Linked DNA regions of Macaca fascicularis. The protein of the gene in region 3 binds, or shares a complex with, the protein of the main gene of each other region. Links are inferred from orthologs where the notes say so. Each region holds a gene or a part of one and is shown on either strand. Other genes may lie near its edges.

What was found.
Region 1: the proteins of ITCH (region 3) and TXNIP are in contact, whole or in part, in a crystal structure (PDB 5CQ2), measured with the Homo sapiens proteins. The link is inferred for Macaca fascicularis from reciprocal best matches to the Homo sapiens genes ITCH and TXNIP. Residues at the interface, in NP_001244066.1 of Homo sapiens: Glu485, Arg487, Thr489, Tyr495, Val497, Asp498, His499, Arg502, Thr503, Thr504, Thr505, Tyr506, Leu516; in NP_006463.3 of Homo sapiens: Pro328, Glu329, Ala330, Pro331, Pro332, Cys333, Tyr334, Val337, Ile338.
Region 2: the proteins of ITCH (region 3) and ARHGEF7 are in contact, whole or in part, in a crystal structure (PDB 5SXP), measured with the Homo sapiens proteins. The link is inferred for Macaca fascicularis from reciprocal best matches to the Homo sapiens genes ITCH and ARHGEF7. Residues at the interface, in NP_001244066.1 of Homo sapiens: Arg252, Pro253, Pro254, Arg255, Pro256, Arg258, Pro259, Pro260, Pro261, Pro262, Thr263, Pro264, Arg266; in NP_001106983.1 of Homo sapiens: Phe193, Phe195, Thr198, Asp201, Glu202, Arg215, Glu217, Glu218, Gly219, Gly220, Trp221, Glu223, Thr230, Trp232, Pro234, Asn236, Tyr237.

Annotation. Positions count from the first base shown.
Region 1 is NC_088375.1:113,420,006-113,427,394, reverse strand, and holds the start of TXNIP (thioredoxin-interacting protein), read right to left. Parts: upstream 3,871-7,389; 5' UTR 3,556-3,870; coding exon 3,306-3,555; intron 2,757-3,305; coding exon 2,684-2,756; intron 2,571-2,683; coding exon 2,423-2,570; intron 2,311-2,422; coding exon 2,208-2,310; intron 2,076-2,207; coding exon 1,819-2,075; intron 1,710-1,818; coding exon 1,553-1,709; intron 1,440-1,552; coding exon 1,288-1,439; intron 1,158-1,287; coding exon 1,122-1,157; 3' UTR 1-1,121. UniProt on the Homo sapiens protein: May act as an oxidative stress mediator by inhibiting thioredoxin activity or by limiting its bioavailability.
Region 2 is NC_088391.1:101,801,418-101,808,042, forward strand, and holds part of ARHGEF7 (rho guanine nucleotide exchange factor 7), read left to right. Parts: intron 1-1,758; coding exon 1,759-1,927; intron 1,928-2,028; coding exon 2,029-2,168; intron 2,169-4,588; coding exon 4,589-4,813; intron 4,814-5,442; exon of another isoform or gene 5,443-5,565; intron 5,566-5,856; exon of another isoform or gene 5,857-6,334; intron 6,335-6,625. UniProt on the Homo sapiens protein: Acts as a RAC1 guanine nucleotide exchange factor (GEF) and can induce membrane ruffling. Functions in cell migration, attachment and cell spreading. Promotes targeting of RAC1 to focal adhesions. May function as a positive regulator of apoptosis.
Region 3 is NC_088384.1:90,408,743-90,416,051, forward strand, and holds the start of ITCH (E3 ubiquitin-protein ligase Itchy homolog), read left to right. Parts: upstream 1-3,140; 5' UTR 3,141-3,217; intron 3,218-7,309. UniProt on the Homo sapiens protein: Acts as an Acts as an E3 ubiquitin-protein ligase which accepts ubiquitin from an E2 ubiquitin-conjugating enzyme in the form of a thioester and then directly transfers the ubiquitin to targeted substrates.

The DNA.
Region 1 (7,389 bases), on a different chromosome or scaffold from region 3:
GAAGGGCTTTTGTGAAGACCTGCCCTCTAGTTTCTCATGGCAGTATTTGGAGGTTCTGATCAGTGTTGGGTATTTTGATCAAGAGTTCCTCCTTGGGTTTGGAGAAGTCACAGTGGGCAAGGCTGACAGCAGCAACCCTTTCACATGATTTGAGTCTTAGAATTATGTAATTCTGTACATTGGGGCAATCTCAAAAGTAGTTAACAGTTTTTTTTTCTTTTTGTCTTTGGGCTTACCCCTAGAGACATAGTAGACGAGTTTCAGCTTACATTTAAGATGGTGGAGGGGGGAGGACAAAAAATTTGACAGGAACTAAAGTGCTAAGAACATCACCTTAGAATCAATTCCAAGGACTTGCATGAAGAGAAAAATATCCTCCCATATGAAAATATTTGCAATAGGAGAACACAGTGCAATATGCTCCAAAAATGGCTTTTAAGACCTTTGGTGGGACACAGTTACTACCGCTTTAAAAGCCAGGTTAAAGTACACTCTAAGCAAAGACGACCATAGAGCAGCTAGCTTCTTTTTTTATAATCACAGAGAAAGCTCTCTCCAAATGTCCATCAAATCAGCCCTAGAAGGTTTTTCTTTTTTTTCTGCAAGTGCACAAAGGGGAATACTGATTTTAAGAACCTCCTTTTCCCAAAGTTTTGGCCATAATTTCCCTTTTCATGTTCCTAGTTTGCTAAATTGGCTCTTTTCCACATGATAGATACATAAGTTGAAGGTCCAAAGTGGTTATCACAATTTGCACAAAGCCTCCAAGAAACCTTGAAAAGCTCATGCCAGGAGGCCATTTTTACCTGACCCGAAACTACCGAAAAGGCCTCAATTTTCAAGGAGATCTGAGAAAATGGATGGGCCTGAGTTTTTCTAGCTGTTTTTAAACCCATCCAACAAACACCCCTGTATCACAACATCGGCGCTGGCTGAGGATGAGTCCGCATCCTTTAAGGCCCAGGAGATTGCCTGCTGACCACCTCCTGCATTGGGAAGTCAGAGGCTAAGGTGGATCCACACTCCATTGCAGAGACTACTGAGTCTCTGAAAAAGTGAGAGTCCAGGAAGAGAGACAAAAAGAAAGAAGTAGGTAAAGCTGCTTCTTTTCTTCCACATGTTCACTGCACGTTGTTGTTGAGGATGCACGGATCCACCTAAAGGAAGAAACAGACTATTTCAGTTCAGATAAGAACTAAAAGAACAAACCAGTTTAGCAATCCCCCTAAGTCAACTTCTTATAGAAAGCTTAGGACAAATTTTAACAGTAAATATGACAATTCTCACCTCAGTATAAGTAGGTGGTGGCATGAACTTGAACTCAGGGGCATACATAAAGATAGGGCTGTCTTGAGCGCCATCCATGTCATCTAGCAGAGGAGTGGTGGGGCTCTCCAATCGGTGATCTTCGGGAATGATATCCATATAGCAGGGAGGAGCTAGAAAAGAAAATATGGCCACATAAGAAGCCTGCCCAAGAAATGCTGGACCATCACAATTTTACAAACCCAGGTAGACCAGAAATGAAGAAAAGACATTAGGTCTGGCTCACCTTCTGGGGTATCAGGGATATTCAGATCTACCCAACTCATCTCAGAGCTGGTTCGGCTGGCCATGCTGGATGTTCTGCTGCTTAGACCTGATCTGCTGCCAATTACCAGGGGCAGGTCAAGGATGACCTTCTTGGACCCAGGAACGCTAACATAGATCTAGAAAAGGAAGATGGTAGTTTGTTAGACCAGAGCGCTCTGGTGAAACAAGACAGTTATGGTAACAGATGAACAATTTCTCTGCTGAACCCACCCTGCATCTACTCACCAGTAAAGAATATTCAACTCGAAGAATGTTGCAGCCCAGGATAGAAGGCCTGATCTTCTGAACCCGAAGGCTCTTTCCACGCCATGATGCACATGTCCCTGAGATAATATGATTGCCTCTGACTGATGACAACTTCTGAGTCAGCACCTTGGTCTGGCCATTGGCAAGATAAGTGTGGCGGGCCACAATGGCAGCTTTGGGGACCACAATTCGGGAACACGTATTCTCAAAGTCAGCATGGATGGAAATCTCGTCACCTAGCAAAGAGAAAAATGAAAACTTACTGATACTCAGTATAGTTAATGACATTTCCTCTACCCCAGTCCCATGCCCTTGCCCCTAAACCTAGTTCCTGTTATATCTGTCTGCCATAAGCACTAGGATTTTACCTTCACAGAATCCTTTTCTGTCAATTCGAGCAGAGACAGACACCCGCCCATCAGGAATGAACATGCAGGAAACTTTCTTTTCCTTTTTAGCAGACACAGGTGCCTATGTAGAAGGGGACAAAAAGGTGTTTTGAGATGCTTCAATCTAATGCCCAAGACATCTGATTTATCATCCCTGTGACCCAGGAGAATATAATCTTTAAAATGAATCTCACCATTAAATCAGGGGTATTGACATCCACCAGATCCACTACTTCAAAGTTTTTCTTTGTCTCCTGAGTTGGCTGGCTGGGGCGGTCAAGAAAAGCCTTCACCCAGTAGTCTACACACCCATATTTTCCTTTGAAGGATGTTCCCAGAGGCCTGTGTCAAGAAAATGAAAATTTTTAAATGCTCTCCAAGGAACAGTAAGTGATCAAAGGAGGGCAAGATATTTTAGACAGAAAAGTTCAAAGATGCATTTAGCTGATATTTACCCCTGGGGAAGCTCAAAGCCGAACTTGTACTCATATTTGTTTCCAGGTCTCATGATCACCATCTCATTCTCACCTGAAGGGAAAGATAATCGAGTAGCCATTAGGCTTCCTGTTACACTTAAAACGCATCTGTGTGATAAGGAATGTTTGGGTGGCATGCAAGGTATTGAAGTACCCCTAATTTCGTCCCACAGAGAGGTATTTTAATCATCCCATGTTGTTCTTAAAGAGAAATTCTGATGTATTTTGTTGGGCAGCAAGTTCCCAAGTTGCCCTGCAATGCTTTTAAAGATTCACCCAGGACAGTTCTTCACTAACATCTCAAACAGGAAGTAGGCAAAGAATAAGCAACTAATGCACACATAAGATTTTTAACTATCCGAGGCAATGCCCCTCAGAACCACCTTTAGGACACAGCACCATAAAAAATTGTACAAACCACCCTTTTTTTTGGGGGGTGTGGGGGGGAGAATGTCTGCAAATTAGAAAAAAGGAAGTAACAACGTGCAATTCACACCACTCAAACTGAGCAACTTAAAACATTTCGTATAGTTTTGTGTATTCCTTTCAATTCTCTTCTCTAATCAGCTTTCACCCTCCAACAATGAATTGGGCCGCTTACCTGTTGGCTGGTCTTCCGGAAGAAGCGTGTCTTCATAGCGCAGGTACTCCGAAGTCTGTTTGCACTGCTGGGATCCCTGCATCCAGAGCACTTTAGCCACTCCGCAAGCAAGGATCCTAACGGCTTTGACACGAGTAACTTCACACACCTCCACTATCACCCGGCCAGCCACCTTCTCACCACTGCCGTACACCTTTTCAGGGTCGTTAAAGACCACCTCAAAAGACTTGATCTTCTTGAACATCACCATGATGGGACGGAGTTGGTTTGAGAGTTAGAAAAGACCGTGGAAGAATAAAAAAAAAAATGCACCAAATCGAGGAAATTCCTTTGCAGTAAATTATTTCACTCTTCCTAAGGAATGAAGATATTCTTAAGCAGTTTGAGCTTAAAAATGAGATTTAAACAAATGAATTTTAACTAGGTTTTCGAAAAGGCGTCCAAAAAATTTACGCCGCTGGTTACACTAAGCGATTTCAGAGAAAAAGTCTTCTTTTCCCCGATTGCTGGAGAAGAGATCCGATCTCCGCAAGCACTTCTTGACAGAGAAAGAGAGGTTAGTTTCAAGCAGCAGGCGGAAACGGCTCTATATAGAAGCCCCGGCCAGAAGAGCCACGCGAGCGCTGGGTCGGAGGCTCGTGCTGCCCTCGTGCACATCCCTCCCATTGGCTGCCCGGTCCTTGTTTACCAGGAGCCCGACCAATCAGTGAGATCGCTGAGGCGCGTGGACACGGTGTGCTCCTGGCGGGGAAAATGGTTGTTGTGCTCGGGAGCGGCGCAGGGAGGGGGGAAGGAGAGGAATGAGGGGAAGGAGGGGGCTTTTGAGTCTTTACCCGGGCCTAGTGGAAGGAGGATACCACTGACCCTAAAACCTAGCCAGGGCGACAGGCCATCGGAGGGCGGGTGTGGACGTTTCTGGTCTGAGAGCGGTGGTTTGAGGTAAAAAGAAAATGTGCTTATGAGGGAATTTCGTGCCTAGTCTTAGCCAGTGCAATTACTTTATAGTCTGTCGTTTATTCGTGGCTCGTAAATAGCAAGTGTGTGAAAATCCCATAGCTCCAAGAATACTTTTAGGTTTGGGGCCGTGGAGCGCAGAATGCTTGGTGTTACTGTTAAGGAACAGCCCCTTTGTCCTTCTCTTGCCCCGCATCCCTATTAAATGTAAAAAAACACCACCATCTCTGAGGGAAAGGAGAACTTTCAGGCCTCATTGCGGCTGTAGGACTGATGTCTTCTACTTCCCGTTCCAATCCCTTGGGGCTAGGGCTGGGGGCTGCGTGCGTGTGCTGTTCGTCACCCCCCGCCCCTTGTACCCTCTCTTCTGTTCTCTCTGTTCTCTGGCACGGAAATAGGACAGGCGTGTTTACATCCTGTTGCTTATCCTGTTATCTCTTCAATTTCTGCCTGCAAAGTTGGGGAACACTTTGTCTGTGTTTCCCATTTACCTCATTACCTCTTTAGTGAGGTGTGTCCAGGCGCTGATAATCTCGCACTCCCTACCTGCTTCTGGAGGAAAAGGAAGGGGGGGGGGAACAAGGATGCTTCACTTTTTTCACTTTCTTCCAGAGTTATGTTCACTCTTTCTTGTCTCCCTCCCCTCTCCCAACTCACTAAATCAAATATACATCCATAAATCTGGTTAAAAGCAAGAAAGTCCTCTTGTTTATATCCAAATTTCCAGTGGAGAGATGGCCATACACCTGTTTGAAGGAACAATTTTAAAAAATATTTTCAAAGGTTTTTCCCTAAACGGTTTAGAAAACAGTAAGAAGGAAAAGAGAAGAAAGATCGGTCACTAGAGCACTATAAATTCAAGCCAGAAGAGACCCTACCCTCCCTTTGTTGGTTTCATTCTTTGCTGGTTTCGTTTGGCCAGCTGTCAGATGGATTTTCCCCTGCTGGCTGTGAGATGCTTTAGGAGCTGAGTACTGAGAACTTACTCTTAAATGTAATAAGAAAAACCTGTATGCAGAAGTGCAGGGATTCTTCCCCCTTTTCTTTGATTCATAGACCCTTCCCATATCTGTGCTGGGGTATCAGAAGATTATCATCTCATTCCTTGGGCTGGAAAGGAAGATAATGTCCCAAGATTGAGATGGGGAAGTAACTAAGAAGCATTCAAGTATATTGAAACCCTACCCAGTCAGCAAAAAAGAAACCTATTCATTGCTGTTAAGGAGACTTCTTCCTTCCTCAGACACCCTAGCTGGATTGACACCCCAAGGCTAACAAGTTACAACTCAACCCCAATATTAAACAAGCTCAAGAATAGGCATCATGAGTCTCTTGGAAAACACACACACACACACACACACACACACACACGCATTAAACCCCAGGAACTTGTTTATCCTTAGGGCGTGTTTGAGGCAGCACCCTGTTCTAGAAGCTTAAGAAACTAGGCTTGAGGTGTTTTCAGTTGGTTAACAATATTGATTGAGTTACTGGGAGCAGAGGAGGTGGGACTCTGAAGTAATTTTTTTAAAGATAGAATCTCACTCTGTTGCCTAGGCTGCAGTGCAGTAGCCCCATCTTGGCTCACTGCAACCTCCGCCTCCTGGGTTTGAGCGACTTTCCTCCTCAGCCTCCCAAGTACTTGGGATTACAGGCATGTGCCACCACACCCAGCTAATTTTTGTATTTTTAGTAGAGACGGGGTTTCACCATGTTGCCCAAGATGGTCTTGAACTCCTGATCTCAAGTGATCCTACCCACCGTGGCCTCCCAAAGTGCTGGGATTACAGGCGTGAGCCACCGTGCCCGGCCTGACTGAAGTAATTTTTCTTTTTTTTAGAGTCCCGCTGTCTCCCAGGCTGGAGTGCACTGGTGCGATTTCAGCTCACTGCAAGCTCCGCCTCCCGGGTTCATGCCATTCTCCTGCCTCAGCCTCCCAAGTAGCTGGGACTACAGGCACCTGCCACCATGCCCGGCTAATTTTTTGCATTTTTAGTAGAGACGGGGTTTCACCGTGTTAGCCAGGATGGTCTCGACTCCTGACCTCGTGATCCACCCACCTTGGCCTCCCAAAGTGCTGGGATTACAGGTGTGAGCCACCGCGCCCGGCCAGTAATTTTAAAAGTTCCTAAATTGTGGCTTCTGGGAGAACGTTTAGTTTGATGGGTATGAAAGTGTAAATATCAAACATCAAAATGCTGACAAATATATGAATCAATATTGTTAACTACATAGTCAATATTGTTAAATATTGATAAATCTTAACTACATACATTTTGAGGGAATAGGAAAGATGGTGGCTAGTGATGGATCAGGGTGGTGGTAATATGGGACATCTTAAGAAAAGGGAACACTGGGCCGGGCGCGGTGGCTCAAGCCTGTAATCCCAGCACTTTGGGAGGCCGAGACGGGTGGATCACGAGGTCAGGAGATTGAGACCATCCTGGCTAACACGGTGAAACCCCGTCTCTACTAAAAAATACAAAAAACTAGCCGGGCGAGGTGGCGGGCGCCTGTAGTCCCAGCTACTCGGGAGGCTGAGGCAGGAGAATGGTCTAAACCTGGGAGGCGGAGCTTGCAGTGAGCTGAGATCCGGCCACTGCACCCCAGCCTGGGCAACAGAGCAAGACTCTGTCTCAAAAAAAAAAAAAAAAAGGGAACACTGATATTTATTTGGGCACGTCTCTGAAGTACTGAATTGCTGAGTTTTTAAAAATCCTATGACAATTCTCTCATTCTAAGTTTCTCTCCTGGGCTCTAGTTTCCTCGTATCTTCCCATTTGCAGAGCTCACTACAGACTATGTTGCTCTGTGTTATGCCTGGGTTCCTTTAAATGCCAAAAAATTATTTAGCTTTGGCAGCAGCTGCTGCCTACCAGGCCTGTAGCCAAGGCATGTTCTGAAGTAGAGCCCTCCTGGACACAGTTGTTTACAACCTTTCACCTTGTAACCTGGTATTCTGATAAAAATCTGCCCCCTGATTCTCCTTTCCCAGTTCTTGGGTCTAAGAAGAAGACATTTTGTAAACTCTTGTCCTAAAATCAGGGTATAAAAACGCTTGTGAGGTTTGGGAAAAGATGTGGGCCAAGGAGGAACAGCAAAGTAGGGCACAGTCCAAGAGTTTTGCAAG
Region 2 (6,625 bases), on a different chromosome or scaffold from region 3:
TTGTCGACCACCCAGAGAGGACTTGTCGTCATACGCTTACTCTAAAACGGGTGCTTTAGAATTGATGAATCACATATATAGGAAAAGACTCAGGAAAATAAGGCTGTAGTTTGTAAGGCCACTGCTGAAGAGAGGTGATCTGTGGCTAAGGTGGTGCCCACTAGAGTTTTCCAATAAACTAGCAGCTACTTCTTTGTTAAATGACCTTGATAAACCTAAATCTCTGTCCTTTCTGGTCAGCACTATCTGGCTTCCTATTTTATATCCCCAGAGTCTCATTCCAGTGGCTGGAGACAGGAGCCTTCTCTAGCCTAAGGGAGAAGAGGTTGCCACTCGTGGCAGGCTTGAGTCTCTGCCTGTGGGACTGGGGCTCACACTGGCTTTACCCTTGACGTGCTGACAGACTGCTGGGGCTCATCTCAACGACAGGATTCTATTTTTCAGTTCTTAGTACAGTGGTGAGCCATGGTCTCTGTATCGTCAGTCTTCATTTCTACCATTGGAACACTGGCTTTGGGGGATGCTAAAAAGTGTTCGATCCAGCCACAGCCACAGTGCTCTGTACACCGATGTTCCGGTGGGCTAGGTTAAACACAGTTGTGCAGTTTCATTTTCTGTAGCACTCACAGCTGTTAAAGTACTTACATGCATTGTGAATCTTGGAAAGGAGTTCACAGTGTGTAGCATTTTTAAAATACGCTTGGCCACAGAAGTGTCCAGCAGTCTCCTCTTCCACCTGCCGTGCTTTAGGATGAGATTTCTCCACCTGGGCACTGCTGACGTTTTGGACTGGATCATTCATGGCCCGGGGCTGAGGGCTCAGTGAGACTGTCCTGGGTACTGTGGGGTATAGGCAGCCTCTCTGGCCCTTACTTGCTGGATGTCTGAGCCCCTGCCAGGTTGTGGCACTGCCACCCATTCTCTGTGGGGGCACGTTCCCCACACCCGTTGAGCAGCACTCCCACTGGAGGTGCTCATGCAGAATCTCGCTCCGCAGCTGATGGAGTGCTCCCCAGGCAGCACGACCCAGATGCCACTGCCTCTTCCTGAGGACTTGGTGGGCCACCGTGTACTGTAGTTTCTGTCAGCTGCGCCAGACTGTTTTGTGTTCACTTCTGATTTGTTTGTAATGATCACTTTGTACCCCGTTTCTGGTATCTTTTCCATTGACATTTCCTGTTGCAGTTACTGATTTCTTCCATTTTCAGGGAGCATTGGTTTGCCAACCATTTTCTGCATTGTGTGCAGCATTTAGCACAACTACTTATTTTCTGTTTGGTGGATTATAAAGTAGAATGTTAGGCAATTCTTGTTCTTGCCTCAATTTCCCACCCTTATTTTGACTTTAAACTTGGAGCTTCCTCTGTATTTCTTTATGAGGCAAATACATGCTGCTTTTCTGCAAAAACATCGTTTAAAACAACTGTTACACGTGGTAGTTTTTAAAAAATCATAATGTGAGATTTTTTGTCCTGGTGTCTGTTTAGTAGCAGCTCATCAGATGCAGTGTGTGTTTGGGCTTGTCAGTCTGTCCCTTGTCGCCAGTTGAGTTTCTTGCTTACAGTATAGTATTAATATGATTTATTATTTGAGATAAAGATTTTTGTATTATACATGCATCTGCTACAAACGAACTCTTTTTGGTTCACAAACACAGTTCCTCCACCAATTCTAAAATCATTTAATATTACTTTAATAATGGTACCTTTTTCTAGAAAAGCACTAATTGTTTTTTTTTTGTGGGGGGGTCTTTTTTAGGGAAAGCTTCCAACGACAGGAATGACAATCACAAAGCTTGAGGACAGTGAAAACCATAGAAATGCATTTGAAATATCAGGTGATAGGCACAAGCTGTGTGAGTGCCGTGTCTCGGGGAGGAGAGGCAGCTTGTCCCCGCGTGCAGATTCTTGCTTGCATATTTCAGAAGGTGGTGTTTAAGCGTTGAGTGGAATTCTGGGGGCTGTGTGTGCATGCACGCGCTTTTTACCTGTGTTTCCACTCGGCCTATTTTTTCCTTCTCTCCTCTAGGGAGCATGATCGAGCGGATATTAGTGTCATGCAACAACCAGCAGGATCTGCAGGAATGGGTGGACCACCTACAGAAGCAAACGAAGGTCACATCTGTGGGAAACCCCACCATAAAGCCTCATTCGGTGCCGTCTCATACCGTAAGGACCTGGCGCTTCTTCTCCTTCCAGACTCCAGGCGTGGCATCCCGTGGCTGAGCTGTCAGCAAGTGATCACGTGCTTTAAAACCTGATCAATATTGGGATAAAAATGCAAACGCTTGCTTGATATTTCTCTGAAAATATTTGGCCCTCTTTGTGCAGTAGTGAATTGTTTTCCAATGAGTGTTCTCGAGAAACAACCCTGAATTGTGCCTCCTCACGCACAATTCAGAGGTGCTTGGGTGGGAAGCTGCTTTTGCTCAGCGTGGCCTTAGAAGACTAATTTAGGGGAGTTTTACACTAAACTATAGATGATTTTTCTGAGAATTTTAACTGTTTATTATGCTTCATTTAAGAAAACGAAAATAAATGATTATGATGATGAAAAGGGCCAGATTCATGTTGAAGGCATTAAAATAGAGTTTATGACACACTGTTGATTTTAAGAAATTGAGGTGTCTTTTACTTAGAAAAGCTCAGCAACTCTTTGAATTTTTAGAGAATTACAACTTTTCAAAATAGATGAACACTGAATTCGGTTGCAGTGTTTAAACCTCTCCTGGTGTTTTTTGCTCAAGAAGTTGGTATCGGGTTGTTTTAACAGTCGTCATCTTTATCAAGTAATACCGAAAAACTGGGCAGAGCTTTTAAAGAATGAGTGGCGATGACACGGCATTTTCAGCTTGCAGATTCCCTCACATCCTTACTAGGTTATTAGGATCAGTTCTGTCGTGTGCTCAGTTTTCATGTTTTCTTCTTCATGGGAAGGTTGTAGATCAAGAAGGATTGCTGTATTCTGATATTCTCATCAGTTTCAGAGTCCATCTGATTTCTCTCAGCAGTGTGCAGATAACTACTCATTGGCTTTTAGCTAGCATTTCATCTTTAATGGCTCTGCCGTTTTAAAATTCTCCATTCTTTCGTGGAGATCAGTTTATCCCAGCGACATGTGTACACGTGTGTTTATAAAGAACAGTGGATGAGCTGCTTCACTCAGATTTTCAACAGCAGCCTGAAACTCTACTTCATACAATTTTACATCAAGTCAGCTTTTCTCTGCGGCCAGACCCTCCGTCTTAGTGTTTCTTTCACTGGTGGCGGGGAAGGCACTGTGCCTCATGTTTAAAATGTTCTGCGTTCTCCTACAGAGTTTCTTTTGTGGGATGATGTATTCTCCTGTGATCTAACTCTGTCCAACTGAAGTCATATTCTAATTTTAGCATAAAGCATACTTCCTTTGACTTTCTCAAGAAAGGAGAAACAAAACCAGACACTACTTAACTCTGACGTTGTTGCTAGGAGGGATGTCTTACATAATTTTCTCCATCTATACATTATTTCCTATGAAAAGATGACGTTACGGTGGCTTCATAGCATGACCTGTATCTCACACGATTCCCTCCCCCATGCAGGGACTAGAATGTGATCATTGCAGAAAGTTGATGGCGTCTGTTCTTGAAATTGTGGCATTAGCTGCTGTGGGGCCTTCCCTCTCAGCCTGTTTTGAAGGTCGTGTACTTCAGAATGCCGACCCCACTCAGGTTTCCAGTTCACAGCGCCACACAGCTTGTTCTCCCATTAAACGCGCCTTACTATTGTTGGCTAATTTGAAGTCATTGTTGGCTGATTTTGAGACTTACTTAACTTTTCTCATTTAACTGTCATTGTGATGGGATATTTCGGGTTTCCCAGGAATATAAAATTCATTAATGACATACCTCCTCTAAGAAGTTAATTTTCAATTAACTTTGTTTTGATTAAAGTTGAGTTTTCTAAGAAAATAACTGATTTTATACCAGGGTTTGGCAGTGTTCTAGAAAGAGCCAGATGGTAAACATTCTCTGCTTTACAGGCTCAGGCCTCTTGCAGCTGTACTCTGCCCTTGTAACACAGCAGCAGCTTTAGACAGGCACGGGCCTGCTTGTGTGCCAGGAAAACTTTTTTAAAAAACAAAACTAGGCGATTGGGCCTTAGTTTCACCCAGTACTTCATCACCAGGTGAAGAATAATACGTGACCGGGGGGAATCACCTTCCTTCTTACAGCCACATGCCCTGTGTGCTTTTGTGAAATTCTCATCTTTTTACTAGATAAAGTACCTTTTTTTCTGTTAATGTTACTCCGTAGCTAATAAATGTGGCTAGTGGATGTCCGAGTGCTGGGGCGCCAGCTAGAGCTGCCCCTCCCGTCTGGGGCAGACACCGTGGGGGGGTCCCATGCTCAGCCCAGGTGGCGCGAGCTGGTGCTTGGCCCCAAAAACTACTGAGAGCCAGAGATTCGAACGAAATGATAAATGATAAATCCTGGGGTTTATTTCACATGGAGTGTTTAAAGAGCGGAAGGAAGTGCGTGATAGTGCCCTTTCACGGTGAGCATGCAAGTCTCACGTTCTCTGCCCTTCCCGCTCTGTGCCCTCGGCAGCTGCCCTCCCACCCGGTCACTCCGTCCAGCAAGCACGCAGACAGCAAGCCCGCGCCGCTGACGCCCGCCTACCACACGCTCCCCCACCCCTCCCACCACGGCACCCCGCACACCACCATCAACTGGGGACCCCTGGAGCCTCCGAAAACACCCAAGCCCTGGAGCCTGAGCTGCCTGCGGCCCGCGCCTCCCCTCCGGCCCTCCGCTGCCCTCTGCTACAAGGAGGTGAGGTCCCTTGACCACTCAAACAGCCAGACGCCGGTGAGCATGCCTTGGGCCCCGAGTGTGCCGGGCTGGTCCCTCTGTACGCAGCAAAATGCACCCTAACTGCTAGAGAACTGAGAAGGGGTCTGCCTTGGTTCTTCGGTTATCTCCGCTGCTGCTGAGAGGCCTGTGGTAACCCTGTGTGGGAAGGGGATGTGCAGATGTGCAGGGCCCCTCCTGTCTGTGCCATGCAGAGGGGGCCTTTACTGTGCTTGCCGGAGGAATGTGCCGCCGGGGGCCAGGAGCTGGAAAGGCGCCGAGCCCAGGTGACTTTCCCTCCCCGTGTGTGAGGCCGTCGCTCGGCGTCTGCATGCTGTCTGCTGCGTCTAACAACCCCTCCTCTAGGTCGGGGATCCTATCCAGGAGCCCTGCGTTTTGTCATCCAGAAGCCATTTGAAAGGAAGAGAACGTTTACCAATACAAATGAAAAAACACTTAGGCAGTTTCCCCCTTTGATGCATAAGAAATCATGATACAGTCTTTGCTTGTCTGTGTTTTGATCCAGCATTTTTGTATTTGCTAGGTGCAAATAAAGTACGATTCTAATGAATAAATATAAGTATTAACACTTTCTTATACTTTCCCCTAAGCCAGCTTGGATGAGGAAAGGAAGCGTCTTGAGAAATGTGTTCTGAGAAATATTTTCACCTGAGGAAGCCGATAATTGAGATGAGCGTTGTTTTCATAAGCAGTTGAGCGTGCATGGTGGTGAGGTACGAGGAGTGGCGGTGCGAGTATGGGTGGCTGCGTGCAGATACGAGGAGCGGTGCCCGCTGGTGGGGTGTGAGTGGGCGTGAGGACGGTGATGCGCTCTTGCCTGGCGTCGCGCCTCTGTGTCTGGTCAAGGCCACATTTGCCAAGGGAACTGGAGCAGACTTTTTCTACGCTCTTGCCAGCAGCCCTGAGGGTTTTAAGGCCCATAGGAAAGTACTGTGTAAGAAATTAGGATCTATGCTTTTCATTTTTTGGTCTTACTGAGTCTTTGTTTTTATGATATCTTTCAGGTAATCATGTGTGCAAGTCAGAATTCTCATTTTCTGTCATGGGAAGTTACTTGAAGAATGTTGGTGTTCCTTATTGTATACTTTAGTGTGCACAGTCTAAAGAAAAAGTGAGCTACTGCAAGAACTGGTGGAGACTGAATTACTAGGGAAGAAAACGGGGATAAAACTGTTGGGAAAAGAAGTAGAAAGGGCAAGGGAAGAGGCATTGAAATGAAGATAAACAATTTGATTTTGATAATCTGGCTGCAGTTGCTTTGCCCACTCCACACTGGGAGAGAAGGGCTCACGCCGAGCAGCTGCTGTCCAGTGTTGCTGAGTGCCACACAGCATTAGCGTGGAGAGTGGTCCTGCAGAGTACGAGAAGAGGGCGTGGCGGCTCGTGGAGGCCGCTCTGCAGCCTGCTCTGCCTGGCTCTGGTCGTCGGGTGTGCTGTGTGCCTCATGACCCTCTGTGCCCGCAGGTGCACTCGGAGCACATGGTGGGTGGGCATTGGCTCTTCAAGGCTCTCCATCTCAATTTGCTTTGAATTAGGGAAGCCAGGGAGCACATGTGTATAAATGTGTCTTCTGGAACAGATTGCTACTGCATTTCTAAGAGCTTTACAATTTTTATAGAAAGATTTTTATTTAACTTTTTAAATGTTACTTTAGATTGAAAGTTTGTTACATGGCTGTATTGGGTGATGCTGGGGTTTGGGCTTCTAGGGTACCTATTACCCAAATAGGAAACACTGTACCCAATGGGTAGTTTTTCAAAACTTGCGCCCATC
Region 3 (7,309 bases):
TTCTAACACCATAGACTAGTTTTGCCTAACCTTATATAGTTTTTAAAAGTGTAGGTGAATACAGAATCTGGAGCTAGAAGACTTAGGGTTAGATCCCTGGTTCCTGGCTGAGTGATCTTGAACAAGCCATTTAATTTCTGTCACACTCAGTTTTCTTCTCTGTATAATGGTCATAAAAATACCTCGTACTGGCCAGGTGCAGTGGCTCACCCCTATAATCCCAGCACTTTGGGAGGCCGAGGCGGGCAGATCACAAGGTCAGGAGATTGAGACCATCCTGGCTAACATGGTGTCTCTACTAAAAATACAAAATTAGCCAGGCATGGTGGTTCATGCCTGTAATCCCAGCTACTCGGGAGGCTGAGGCAGGAGAATCGCTTGAATCCAGGAGGCAGAGGTTGTGGTGAGCCAAGATCATGCCATTGCACTCCAGCCTGGGCAACAAGAGTGAAACTCTGTCTAGGAAGGGAAGGGGAAGGGGAAGGGGAAGAGGAAGGGGAAGGGGAAGGGGAAGAGGAAGGGGAAGGGGAAGGGGAAGGGGAAGGGGAAGGGGAAATGCAAATTCTGCCAGGCACGGTGGCTCAAGCCTGTAATTCCAGCACTTTGGGAGGCCAAGGCAGGCGGATCACTTGAGGTCAGGAATTCGAGACCAGCCTGGCCAACATGGGGAAACTGTATCCCTACAAAAATACAAAAATTAGTCAGTCATGGTGGCATGCACCTGTAATCCCAGCTGCTTGGGAGGCTGAGGCAGGAGAATCTCTTGAACCTGGGAAGCAGAGGTGGCAGTGAGCGGAAGTTGGGCCACTGCACTCCAGCCTGGGTGACAGAGTGAGACTCAGTATCCAAAAAAAAAAAAAAAAAGCAAATTCTCAGGCCCCACCCAGACCTACTGAATCAGAAACTCTGGGAGTGGCCTCAGCAATCTATGATTTAACTAACCTTGCAGGCAATTCTAATAAGTACTGAGGTTTGAAAATCACTGCACTAGAGAATCTGAATGAGGATAGGGGCGCAGGAATCGGTATTTTAGCAATCTTTCCTAAGACATGTTGCAGGAAACATGAAGTGGTTTTGAAAGTACTTTGCTTGAGGCTTGAAGGCTTGAACCTAGGAGTTTGGTTTTTGTGTTTTTTTAGATGGGGTTTCACTCTGTCACTCAGGCTGGAGTACAGTGGTACGATCTTGGCTCACCGCAGTCTCGTCTCCTGAGTTCAAGCAATTCTCCCACCTCAGCCTCCTGAGTAGCTGAGATTACAGGGGTGTGCCACCATGCCCAACTAATTTTTGATTTTTTTTTTTTTTGAGACAGAATCTCGCTCTGTGGCCCAGGATGGAGTTCAGTGGCGTGATCGTGGCTCACTGCAACCTCTGCCTCCTGGGTCCAAGCAATTCTCTGCCTCGGCCTCCCGAGTAGCTGGGATTACAGGCACCCACCACCACGCCCGGCTAATTTTTGTATTTTTAGTAGAGATGGGTTTTCACCATGTTAGCCAGGCTGGTATTGAACTCTTGACCTCAAGTGATTCGCCTGCCTTGGCCTCCCGAACTGCTGGGATTACAGGTGTAAGCCACCGAGCCTGGCCAAGCCTAGAAGTTTGAGAACAGCCTGGGCAACACAGGGAGTCCACGTCTCTACAAAAATTTAAAAAATTAGCCTGGTGTAGTGGCTTGAGCCTGGAGTCCCAGCTACTCAGGAAGCTGAGGTGGGAGGATCACTTGAGCCCAGGACGTCAGCTGCAGTGAGCTATGATTGCACCACTGCACTCCAGGTTGGGTGACAGAGCAGGACGCTGTCTCAAAAAAAAAAAAAAAAAAAAAGATACTTTGAAAAATGTAAGTGACTTTCCAGATGGCAAAATACTATTTTCATTAGGCGGAAACAGTAATAGCAAAGGTCACTAAGAAATGAGTACTTAGTCATACCTCTGAGTCTCTGCTTGCATAGCCTATTATTTCTCAAGCAATCCATGAAGAAGGTTAAGAGAATGGACTTTCACACCAGACTGCCTGGGTTCTTATCAAGCATGTGACTTAGTTTGTACATTTGTAAAATGGGGATAATAACGGTATTTCTGGAATAGGTTTCTCGTGAGAATAAAGAGAGCTTGGTATCAGCTCTTAGAATACCGGCCATGTTGGCTCCACTAAGCTGTTATCACCATTCCTAAGCACACCCAGTTAAAAGGTAGAAAAGGGAGAATTTGAACCCAGTCAGTGTAACTCTCAAGTGTACATTTTTTTCTTTTATTTTCTTTTTAACCACAGCCTTTAATGTACATTGTTAAAGGCTAAACCAGGCCAGGTGCAGTGGCTCACATCTATAATCTCAGCGATTAGGGGGCCTGAGGAGGCAGTATCTCTTGAGCCCAGGAGTTTGAGACCAGCCTGGGCAACATGGCGAGACTGTGGCCCTGTCCCTGCCCCATCCCATCCGGACCCCACCCCATCCCCATCTCTACAAAGAATAGACAAAAATTACTCTGGTGTGGTGGTGCTCACCTGTTGTCCTAGCTACTCAGGAGGCTGAGGTAGGAGACTTGCTTGAGCCCAGGAGTGTGAGGCTCTAGTGAGCTATGACTGCACCACTGCACTCCAGCGTGGTTGACAGAGTGAGACCTTATCTCAAAAAGAAGAAAAAAAAAAAAAAGAAAAGGAAAAGAAAAAGAAAAAAGAACAACTAAGTTATAAACTAAGCTGTGTAGCACAGTGGTTCTCAAATTATTATTTCACTCACTAGTAGTATCACTAGAGAGCTTGTTAGACATGCAGATTATCAGACCCTATCCTCCTATGCCAGATCTTCTGATCAGAAACTCTGGGGGTGGGGGTCAGCACTGTAAGTTTTAATAAGCTCTCTAGGTGATTCTGATGCACACCATAGTTTGAGAATCACAGTCCTTATAGGCTCCGGTGGGCGGGGTGTTAAAAAAAAAAAAAAAAAGAAAGAAAAAAGAATGAGCCGCTCGCTCCCGTCTCACCCGGAGGTGAGGAAAACTGGGATTTAACTGGATTTACCACCGCAGCCGGCTCTTCAAGCCAGGGGCGGGCCGAACGGCTGGCGGGCAAGGCCTGCTGGGGCTTGTAGTCCAGACCACTCCCGCGCTCAGGCGCCTGCGCTTTGGCTGCTAACTCGCTCTGGTAGCTGTGGTCGGGGCTCGGGACCGGCTGCCATCTTAGTCTAGGGACTGAGGAGTCGCCGCCGCCCGGAGTCCCGGTAAACACCCGTGGGCGAGCTCGGGGCAGTTCTCGGGAGAGGGAGGGAGTCCGGATGAGAATGTTGGGGGAGAACTAGGGTAGAGGAGTGGGACGCGCGGGTCGGGACCCCAGAGCCGCGGCTGCTCTGTCTCCCAGAGCCGGTGTCTGTGGGGGGCGCGGGGAGCTCGGGCTACTGGCCCGGGCCGGGCGGTGGGGGTGGGTTATCTGGACGTTCGGAGGGATCAATGCCTGGCACAGGCTCCCGAGGCCTTCGCCTCGCGGGCTCCAAGTTGTGAAAGGGCTGGGCCACGACGGGCGTGGGTACGGTCCGGCCCCTCGCCCCTCATCCCCGCCTGGGGCCACTCTCCAGCGGTTCGGCCTACGCGCGGGGCCCGGCGGCCCGGGCCGGCGCGGGCTACGTGGCCCTGTGAGGGGCGTCGGCCGGGTCCCCCGTTACCCAGCTGTCCTTCCCGAGACTTCCGAGCCCCCAGTCGCTAGAAGGGCCCAGCCCAGCGGCTACCTCCACTTCTCTCTCCCACTCCCCTCCTCCTTCCATTGTCCCCCGGCATGGTGGTCCCGGCCCCGGCACCCTCCCCGACGCCCGCCACCGTCGTGGCGGCGCCGACTTTTGCAGACGTGGAGCTGTCACTGCCCTTCCTCCGGAGAGTGCCCTTTTCCTTAGCAGAGAAAAGTAAAAAGAGCCGTTGAACGTATTCTAAGGGTCGAAACGTGATGACATGACTTTTAAGTGGATAACTCAAGTTTTCCAAGACAGTTCCGGGCCGCGACTTAAAAGAGAGAATCGCAGGATTTGTGCGCCCAAGTAGACGCTGGGCCTAAAGTTAGTTGGACATGTAACCAGGTGAACTTGTAAAGGGCCAGGAATTCATTATCCCCAATAACAACGCAACCTTGTTTTCTTGGTTGTATTCGTATCCTAATCTTACTACATTTTCTGCCGTTCTTCCACATCTGCGATATACTTGGTTTGGAGTGGGGGATGGGGAAGTGTGAGATTTTTGCCTTGAAAATTAGTAAGACCCTGGAGCCAGCCACCTATCATTGCACTTAGTTGGGTTCTCCTGCATCTTTTCCTAATATAATTCGATCTTCAGGAAGTATGTAAAGGCAGTGTATTTCCATTCTCAAAATCGGCTAAGGAGTTATTTATCAGTTCAGGTGAAGTTCTCATGGCAGATATGGTGAGAGCTTGCTGTGTGTATTTTACAGGTTTTTTTTTTTTTTTTTTTTTTTGAGGCGGAGTCTCGCTCTGTCGCCCAGGCTGGAGTGCAGTGGCCGGATCTCAGCTCACTGCAAGCCCCGCCTCCCGGGTTCACGCCATTCTCCTGCCTCAGCCTCCCAAGTAGCTGGGAGTACAGGCGCCCGCCACCTCGCCCGGCTAATTTTTTTTTTTTTGTATTTTAGTAGAGACGGGGTTTCACCGTGTTAGCCAGGATGGTCTCGATCTCCTGACCTTGTGATACACCCGTCTCGGCCTCCCAAAGTGCTGGGATTACAAGCTTGAGCCACCGCGCCCGGCCTTTACAGGTTTATTTAAGCTATAATTTATTTTTAAAATTAAGAAATGGGCCGGGTGCTGTGGCTGACGCCTGTAATCCCAGCACTTTGGGAGGCCGAGGCGGGCAGATCACGAGGTCAGAAGTTCGAGACCATCCTGGTCAACATGGTGAAACCCTGTCTCTACTAAAAACACACACACACAAATTAGCTGGGCGTGGTGGCAGGTACCTGTAGTCCTAGCTACTAGGGAGGCTGAGGCAAGAGAATGGCTTCAGCCCAGGAGGTGGAGGCTGCAGTGAGCCCAAATCTGGTTGCTGCGCTCCAGCCTGGGTGTCAGTGGTGTCGGAGTGAGACTCCGAAAAAAAAAAAAAAAAAAAAAAACAATGGGATGGGCGTGGTGGCTCACGCCTGTAATCCCAGCACTTTTGGGAGGCCCAGGCCGGCAGATCTCTTGAGCCCAGGAATTGGAGATCAGCCTGGGCAACATAGTGAAACCCCGTCTCTACAAAAAATACAAAGATTAGCTGGGTGTGGTGGTGGGTGCCTGTGGTCCCAGATACTCAGGAGGCTGAGGTGGGGGAATCACCTGAGTCCTGGGGGTGGAGGCAATGGTGAGCTGTTACTGTGCCACTGCACTCCAGCCTTGGGTGACAGATTGAGATCCTGTCTCAAGAAAGAAAAAAAAAAATGGAAATGAAGGTGGAAATTCTACTGCTTCTTTGAACCGTGAATGTGTTTAAGTTTTGTGAGTCCAAAAGGAATTCCCTTATATTCAGCATACAAGTCAAGTCACCAAGGATATGATATGAAATTACAAAAATGAGTACAGACTACTTCAGTGTATTCTAGAATCAAACATTTCTACATTCTTTTTTAAAAAATACGTCTTTTTTTTTTTTTTTTTTGAGACGGAGTCTCGCTGTGTCTCCCAGGCTGGAGTGCAGTGGCGTGATCTCGGCTCACTGCAAGCTCCGCCTCCCGGGTTCACGCCATTCTCCCGCCTCAGCCTCCCAAGTAGCTGAGACTACAGGCACCTGCCACCACGCCCGGCTAGTTTTTTGTATTTTTAGTAGAGACGGGGTTTCACCATGTTAGCCAGGATAGTCTCGATCTCCTGACCTCGTGATCCATCCGCCTCGGCCTCCCAAAGTGCTGGGATTACAGGCTTGAGCCACCGCGCCCGGCCTTTTTTTTTTTTTTTTTTTTTAATTTGAGATGGAGTCTAGCTTTGTCACCCAGGCTGGAGTACAGTGGTGTGATCTCGGTTCACTGCAACCTCCGCCTCCTGGGTTCCAGCAATTCTTTTGCCTCAGCCTCCCTAGTAGCTGGGACTGCAGGCACGTGCTACCCCCCCCCCCGGCTAATTTTTTTTTTGTTTTTTAGTAGAGATGGACTTTCACCATATTGGTTAGGCTGGTCTCTAACTCCTGACCTCGTGATCTACCTGCCTCGGCCTCCCAAAGTGCTGGGATTACAGGCATGAGCCGCCTTGCCTGGCCCTAAAAAATACGTCTTTTCACCTATTAGGAGAGACAGACAAACCAGTAGTCCCCAAATTTGACCATTAGAATAATTAGAAGAGCGTAGAAATTCCACGGTCTCACCTTCTGAGATGGATTTAGTAGGTCTGGGTTGGCTCCAACCAATTTATTTTTAACACATGCCTTAGGTAATTCTGATGGTCTTGGGAACCACTGAGGGCAGATGGTACTCTAGACTTATCAAGGAAAGGTCAAAAAACTTTGAGACGGAAGAGGAAGTGGCCAATTCTGTGTGTGTGGCTGGGTGGAGGATTGGTTAGAAGAGGCAGGATTTGCCCCTGAACCCTCATTGGGTCTTAGATGAAGAGTAGGAATGTGAAAAGCAGTGGGGGGCGGTGGGGGTGTGGGGGCGGTGGGGGTGGAGGGAAGAGAGAAGGACAGGGTAGGCTGAGTGAAGGCCTTAATGCTGTGTGTAAATTCAGAGGATTGTGGAACAAAAATGATTCAGGGAGTAGGGAGTGGAATGGGGAAGGAGAGCATTTTGAAACACAAGGTCAGAAAGGTTAAAGGAAGCAAGTATATGAAAAGTTATTTTTTGTTGTTGTTGAGACTGGGTCTCACCCAGTCACCCAGGATGGAGTACAGTGGCAGTAGTACCTCCAGAGCTCAAGTGATCTTCCCACCCCAGCCTCCCTGAGTAGCCGGGACAACAGGCATGCATCAGCACGCCTGGCTAATTAAAGATTTTTTTTTTATAGAGACAGGTTCTCTTTACGTTGCCCAGGCTGGTCTTGAACTCCTGTGTTCAAGTGGTCCTCCCACCTTGGCCTCCTAAAGTGTTGAGATTACAGGTGTAAGCTACTGTGCTTTGTCTAAAAATTTTAAGTATAATGCTAAAAATTTGGAATTTTATTTTGGTAGAAATAGATACAGGGCTGGGCTCAGTGCCTCACGCCTGTAATCCCAGCAGTTTGGGAGGCTGAAGCGGGTGAATTGCTTGAGCTCAGGAGTTCGAGACCAGCCTGGTCAACATGGTGAAATCCCGTCTTTACAAAAAGGAAGAAAAAAAAAAAGAAATAGATAAACAGATTTTTAGACAGGGAAATGAT